Linked DNA regions of Danio rerio. The protein of the gene in region 1 purifies or fractionates together with the protein of each later gene. This does not show direct contact. Links are inferred from orthologs where the notes say so. Each region holds a gene or a part of one and is shown in the gene's direction. Other genes may lie near its edges.

What was found.
Region 2: the proteins of abi2a (region 1) and wasf2 purify together in Homo sapiens (affinity purification with mass spectrometry; 3 studies listed by BioGRID and IntAct, counting the BioPlex papers as one, with this or other methods). This does not show direct contact. The link is inferred for Danio rerio from reciprocal best matches to the Homo sapiens genes ABI2 and WASF2.

What each region holds. Positions count from the first base shown.
Region 1 is NC_133184.1:13,879,020-13,883,234, forward strand, and holds the start of abi2a (abl interactor 2a), read left to right. Parts: upstream 1-1,380; coding exon 1,381-1,497; intron 1,498-4,215. UniProt on the Homo sapiens protein: Regulator of actin cytoskeleton dynamics underlying cell motility and adhesion. Functions as a component of the WAVE complex, which activates actin nucleating machinery Arp2/3 to drive lamellipodia formation.
Region 2 is NC_133194.1:46,359,964-46,363,621, forward strand, and holds part of wasf2 (actin-binding protein WASF2), read left to right. Parts: intron 1-1,565; exon of another isoform or gene 1,566-1,568; 5' UTR 1,569-1,592; coding exon 1,593-1,725; intron 1,726-1,800; coding exon 1,801-1,935; intron 1,936-3,658. UniProt on the Homo sapiens protein: Downstream effector molecule involved in the transmission of signals from tyrosine kinase receptors and small GTPases to the actin cytoskeleton. Promotes formation of actin filaments. Part of the WAVE complex that regulates lamellipodia formation.

The sequences.
Region 1 (4,215 bases):
CTATCCATTTTGAGCAAGTGACTTACTTTTGCAGGTTATCAAATAGGTTTTGCAGTTTGTAATAATTGTTTTGAGAAATGTATCAACCGTTTTGCAAATGTAAATAATGTGAGAAATACACCAAAGCCACTGACAACATTAAATGGAATTGAGAGAGAGAGAGAGAGAGAGAGAGAGAGAGAGAGAGAGAGAGAGAGAGAGAGAGAGAGAGAGAGGTGTAAACCATGACCATAATGATGATAATACATTTCAGACAGACAGACAGACTGGATGGATGGATGGATGGATGGATGGATGGATGGACGGACGGACGGACGGACGGACGGACGGACGGACGGACGGACAGACAGACAGACAGACAGACAGACAGACAGACAGACAGACAGACAGACAGACAGACAGATAGATAGATAGATAGATAGATAGATAGATAGATAGATAGATAGATAGATAGATAGATAGATAGATAGATAGATGATGTTCTTTTGTAATTTTTGAACATCTATATAAAATACAAATAAATGAAAATGTTGATCTGCAAAAACATTCATCAAATTGTTTGGATGTTTGTTTTCTAACAGATCATGTGACATTGTAAATAATGATCAAATCAAACAAATAAATTACATTTTAAAACAAAGTTTTCACTATTGACACCTTTATATTGATATAATATTTATCTTTTCACTCTCTTTTGAACAAACAAATGCAACTTGATGAGCTAAAGACCTTAAAAATCAGCACTATTAATCAGAATGAAATGAGTTTATTGAGCATGCTTCATAGTTCCACAACAAATTGATCACATCAACTTAATTGTTTTCTCAAATTTAAGTAGGTTCAACATAAAATAATTAGGTTGTCCCAAAAACAACTTAAGAATTGTGTTGTTTCAACTTATTTTAAATAAGTAGTTTAAACAAGCAACAAAAGTAATTTGAGTGATCAGCCATTTTTGATTGCATGATGTATAATAATCCTAATATTATATTATATTATATTAATTATATTATATTATATTATATTATATTATATTATATTATATTATATTATATTATATTATATTAATTATATTATATTAATTATATTATATTATATTATATTATATTATATTATATTATATTATATTATATTAATTATATTATATTATATAATATTATATTATATTTTATCATATTATATTATATTACATTACATTACATTACATTATATTATATTATATTATATTATATTATATTATATTATATTATATTTCAACTTTTCGCCATAGTAGGATTGGTAGACGCGCTTCCCTGCTTTCCCCAAACTCAACGGGGAGGTGAAGCGGCGGTACTTCCTGTCGCTAGTTGCGCGTGGAGGGAGAGAGAGGGAGATGTAAAGATGGCGGAGCTGCAGATGCTGCTGGAGGAGGAAATTCCAGCGGGTCGCAGAGCGTTGTTGGACAGTTTCACCAACCTTGACAGAGTCGCCGAGTACTGCGAAAGTAACTACGTACAGGTGAGCGGCGAAGGAGTACGCATTGTATGTGTTTGTGGAGTTGGGGAGGCTGGAAGTGTGTGTATGTGTGTGCGGTGGTTGTTGATCATCTGTTGAGGCTCAGCGCTAAGTACGTACAAACAACCGCGGCTTGTCCGTGTTCAGATTAACTATAAAAGTTTATGACACTCGTAGGTGAGGCTTTAAACTAAGCGGTGGCTACTTTTGGAGGGCTTGAACTTCTGTGTGCAGTGATTTGAGCGTGTAGGTAGGTAGTATTCAAGTTACATGATCATTGGGGAAACTTTGCTCTGTCAATAATGAATGCGAGTGAAGCAGCTGACAGCACTGTTCAAAACAACGCGGATAAAATTCAAATCATTTAGTCTTGTAAACGTAGACCTATATTGTGAAAATAGACGACACTTAGCTGATTGTAACCACTTTGAAGTGAAATCTTGACATGCTGTTTGAAGCATATTGTAAGTCTAAACATTACCTTTAGATTATTTTTTGTTTTTATTTTTGTCTAAAATTTCAGTCAGTTTGTAATCTGTAAATAATTCGTATTTTATATGCTTTTTGGTACATTGCAATCATAACTGTTTTGGTGCAATCAATACTGGGGTGATAGTGTTTTTGACATGATGGTTAGTAGCATATCATGTTTTTGGATTAGTATAAATTTCAAAGCAATTTCTTTAAGTGCTGGATAATTGAGCAATTCCATGCAAATATCAACCTTCCCATAAAAAATAGGTTTTTACCAAAATAGACATACAGTTTCTACATTTTTTTTTGTGTAAGTATTTTACAGTACTTTAAAAATACTCAGAAATGTCTCTGTCAATGTTTTCAAACTATTATATTTGATTTACCAAAGTCACACAAGTAGCAATTTTACATCTGTCACATCCATAACGGAGAGGCATCTTATCCATAATAAAGCTTTTCTCTCAAAAATGTCAAATAAAATGAAATCAATAATTTTTGTTTCATACTGAGCCAACTCTTATCTCTTTGATTAACATTACTTCTTTTGGGTTGTACAGTTAGTAGTAGTATGTTATACTGTAAACTCTGCTGACTTTTTTTGCATGTTAACATTTAATGCATGTTTATTTTCTTCTTTTAAAATTTAAAATGTATTTACAGATTGATATTTTTCTGTTCCCATAACGCTGTGGTTAGTTGTTTTGGAAAATATAAACAGATGTTTCGATATTATGTTAACATATACTTTCTATGTGAATTTATGGTTTGAGTTTTTACTACAATTGTCACATCCATGATTCTGGAATTGCTCAATTATGTTTTTTTTATGGGTGACTGAAGAGCCATGCAAATCTTTTTGTCTGTTTTAGATTTTTTTTAAAAATTCAATGGTAAAATCTTAATTTAATCTATATCTCCTGTACACTTTTTCTAAACATAAAAATGCAGATAGAAGCTGTGATGACATTAAACCCAAGCATACAAACTTAATGCAAATGAATTAAGCAAATTGTTAATTATAGAAAGTAAACTTTATTTTGTAGCCTCCATTTTTTCCTGTAATATTCACAATATTCTTTGCACATCTGCTCATACATTATATACTTTACATAATTGTAAAGCAATTTCTATGCCTTCATCTTTTGACTTATATCCAAAAGCAGTTTTTGTGATTCTCAGCACTGATGTATGCAAACTCTCACTTAGGAGTTTGTTAGGAGCAATATTTTTTTTAATAGCAAGGGCCAGTTTTTAAATATTTACATTATGGGATTTTAGAACAGAGTTGTGAAGGAACAAGAGTAATGAGAATGTCATTGAAGCAGACCTTCTGTCACATTTTCCATCCTGTGCTCTTGTAAATTGTGTATTTGGACATGGAATTCTCTGTTCAGTGTGATCAATGAATGTCTATATGGGTAACTAAACTATGCCACCATCTGGAGCTCACTACATATAGGCAGCACAGCATACAAATAATGCTCTTCACATGAAGACTACTTGCGTTTTATTATCCTATATTTAAGCTAATGATGTTTTATGATTTAAAAAAAGCACATAATAGGGATGGGATGATAACCGTTTTCAAGGTTTACTGTGGTTTGAAAAAGTCAGTTTTTTTTCTAAACCGCAAATCTTTTCTGTTATATCGTTCCTGCAATATATATACAGATTTTTTACTTGTTAAAGACTTGTAACTTCATCCAAGCATGCTTTGGACCCGAACAGTGTTTTTCACTGCCTTATTTATATCCAATGAAAAGAAAGATATTCAAAGATGCATTTTCAAGTAAAGAAATCTGTGCTTTTGAAACGAATGAAGAATCAATGATTTATTTTAATTATTTTGACATATTTACTGTTCCAAAATATTGAAATATATTGTGTTCAATGGGGAAAAAGTTGTTGTTGTTACCTAGATATTTAAAAATAATCAGTATACTATAATGCCAATATTGCTATATTATATTAATATTACTAAGTCAGAATATCTACTATTTTTAATCCAAGGTTAGCACAAAATCAGTTTTATCACATCATTTTTTGCTGGGTTCCAGGACATGTTGGACTTTCAGGCAATGAGCGAGCTGATGCAGCTGCTAAAGATGCTTTGAAGCAAGTAGTGATCAAATGCCAAATTCCTCCATCAGAGATGAAACCTTTTATCAACGCTTGCATTTTAAACAAGTGGCAAAAGGAATGGGATGCATTAGAAAACAATAAATTACATGAAATCCAACCTGA
Region 2 (3,658 bases), on another chromosome or scaffold:
GAAACATTAAAGTGGAAACTACTTGCATTTAATATTGTTTTTATGCATGTAAAATCACTTTCTTGAGTTTAATCTGAGGCAGACAGACACCGTCTTTGACTCATTTGGTGTAGTTTTATTTTCCAATTGAGCTAAGGCAAGAAGTGCAGTTGCATGCATGAATTTAGACTAGAGGTTGTTGTATTTTGGTCAAAGAAACAGCTGCAGCAGTTTTGGTTCTGCTTTAACCCTTGTGTGCTGTTGGGGATGTTTTCATCAACCACTCTGGGGTGATTTTGAGTCTTAATTTGACTACTAGTTTCTCCGTGTTTCAGCAAATGGAATGATTTTTGGAGACAGATCTTATTTTGACATACTTTGGGAAGATGCTGGGACATTTTTCAAAAACTCATCAATACCAGAGTTTCCGCGGGTCTTAAAGTCTTAAAATGTCTTGAATTTTAAAAGCTAAATTTAAGGCCTTAAAATGTCTTAAATTCAATTAAATATTGTATTGTTGTCTTAAATCTACTGCTTTAAAAGTAAAGCCACCCAATCAGGCTAACATCAAATCACCAATTATCCATCTCAAAACCTTTTTTTATATTAAACTTTTTTATGCAAAAAATATACAATTTACAACATCTGTTAGACTTTTTACATCAAATTCTCCTGATTAAATTCCCTATTTAGGGGAAAAACTAAAGCACCACATCCATTTACATGGTCTTCTATCAATACATAAACTTTTTAGAGGTAATATAAAAGTAACCTGGCCATTAGAAAAAAGTCTTAGTGTTTTGCCCTGTAAAAGTCTAAAATTTCATTCATACTGGTCTTAAAAGGGTCTTTAAATTTGACTTAAAGAAACCTGCAAAAACCTTTAATACTCTCTAGGCAAATTGACTACCTTTTCATTATGATGGGGGCTGTTTTTGCCCCATTGACTTCCACTATAATCACATTTTTTAATTGCAAAGCCATGACACCAAATAGTCATGCATTCTTGATTGTTACTGGTATTTCCCTGTTGGGAAGAGGTCAAATTTGACATTTTTACTGTTTGTATTATGTATAGCATGTCTGCGCGAGTGTATGAGAGACCTTTGCACACTTATCTTGATATGGCTGAGAAAATCAAAATAAGCAGCTGAGCTCTCAGAACATAGTAAACATAGCAAGAGTATTCATGCACACTATAATCTGCTGTTTTACTCCATATAAAAGCTAGAAACTTTTTTGCAAAGGCCAGTCTAAAGGGTTAATGCTGCCAACTGATGATCGACTGTACAAATGACACATTTTACCTCTTCCCAACTGGGAAAACCCTTAACAATCAAGAATGCATGATTATATGCTGTCATGGCTTTGCAGTCAAAAAAAATGTCTTCATTATGGAAGTCATACAGGCAAAAACAGCCACCAACATAACGAAACTGTAGTCGATTTGAGCAATACACAAGAGTTAAAGACTCGTAAGACCCATAAGTGTTGTAAACATGCTTCAAAATAATTAAAGAGTGTGTTTTAGATGATCTAGCGACATTATTTGTAATGCATCTTGTGTGATTTCTGTTTTTCTCGAGGAGGTAGGAGACAAATAATCTCCCATCATGCCTTTGGTGACGCGAAACATCGAACCGCGGCACCTCTGTCGCCAAACGCTGCCAAACACGATCAAGAGTGAACTGGAGTGTGTGACCAACATCACACTTGCAAACATCATTCGCCAGCTTGGATCGCTCAGTGAGTGTTTGTCTAATGGAGTAAATGCTGAGGGAAAATCATTTGTGCTGTTTTTAACCTGTCATTCAATCACAGGCAAGTATGCGGAGGATGTGTTCGGCGAGCTGTTTGTTCAAGCCAGCAAGTTTGCTGATCGGGTCACTACTCTGGGAGAGAGAGTGGACAAGCTGCAGGTCAAAGTCACCCAGCTTGACCCTAAAGAGGAAGAAGGTAAGAAACGCATTGGTTTGTGCTCGAGATTTCGTTATCTTGCGTTGCTTGAATCCATTATGATTTTCTAGGGGTTATTGTGGGTTGTTTTTGCATTTAATAGTTTTGTTTATTATTTTAGTCATTGTATCTTTTTATTTACTTTTCATCCTGGTTTTTCTTTGTCTATTTTTATACATTTTTAGTTTGTTTGTTTTTTTGTCTATTTTTGGTACACCAAACTATTTGGTTTTATATTCTTTTATTTTTTTATTAAACAACTTAATTTTAGTTTTAATAGTTTTTCTAATTTACAGTCGTGCCTCGCTATAACGCAGTTCACCTTTTGCGGCCTCGCAGATTTTTTTAAGTGCAATTTTGACATGCTTTTTTTTTTACAGCACATTGTGTTCTGCGTCCTGATTGTCTGTAGACCATTGTCAATCAATCTTCCGTGCTATGTCTCCTATGCAGTACAGAATACGTTCAGCTTGCCAAATTGACATAAATCTTTGATCGCTAGCAGTGTGACTCTGAAGTGCTGTACTGTCTGTTTGCAAGTTTTCTCCCCTCAATGTCGACGAAACGTTCTACATCTTCAAAGTCACATGGGGTAGCACCCAAAAGGCAGAGGAAGGCCTTAACGTTTATAATAATTGTAAAAAATAAAGCTGACTACTTCTACTGTGGGCTATTTTTAGAATGCAACACCTGCGATTAATGAGGGGGACCACTCTATTGTTTGTTTTTTTTCTAATCCAAGCCATTAATTTAATTATTTTTCTATTATTCTTTCATTTACATCTCACTTTTTTGTGCATCCCAGTCTCTTTTTTTTCATGATTTGTTTGTATTATTATTTTTGTCATATTATTTGAAGTTTGTGTGTCTCATTGTTTGTAACCTATATAATTTTCTTATTCAAATCCTTTTGTTGTTTTTTTCTTATCCAACTTAATTTTAGCTTTTATTGTTTTTTCCTAATTTATTTACTGTTTGTTTGTTTGTTTGTTTGTTTGTTTTTTCTAATCCAAACCATTAGTTTATATTATATATTTCTATTATTCTTTAATACTCATCTTATTTTTTGTGTCTCCCAGTCTTTTGTGAATTTTTGTTTTGTTTTTTGTATTATTATTTTAGTCATATTATTATTTGTTGTAAATTTTTTCATTTTTCTGTTTGTCATTATTTTTAACATATATATTTTTCTTATTAAAATCCTTTGTAGTTTTTTTTATTATCCTACCTAATTTCTTTGTTTTTATTTTTTTCTTAATATTTATTTATAGTTTTTTTCACTAATTTAAGTCATTAATTATTTATCTTTTTAAATGTATTATTATTTAAATTATTCTTTAATTTTAACTACATTTTAATTTTTTATTATTATTTTAGTCAAATTATTATTTTTTTCTGTTGTCATTTTGTTTATTCTTCTATGTTTATATTGTCTTAATATCTTGATATATTGGTTTTATTTTTACATCTCCAACCCATTGTTTAGTTGATTGTCTAAAAATAAACAATACATTACATTTTTTCACTAACCCAATCCAAATCAAGTCCATTTGTATGTTCAAATAATTTCTGCAAAGCATTTTAGTATGAACTCTCATAACAAGAGCTTATTTCGTCACTATGATGTCAGTCTCATCTAAAGAGGTCACTAATGTCCAAACCTGTTACTCAATTAGACCATTTTGCTCATATGTGACATTCACCGCATTAATATACTCAATAA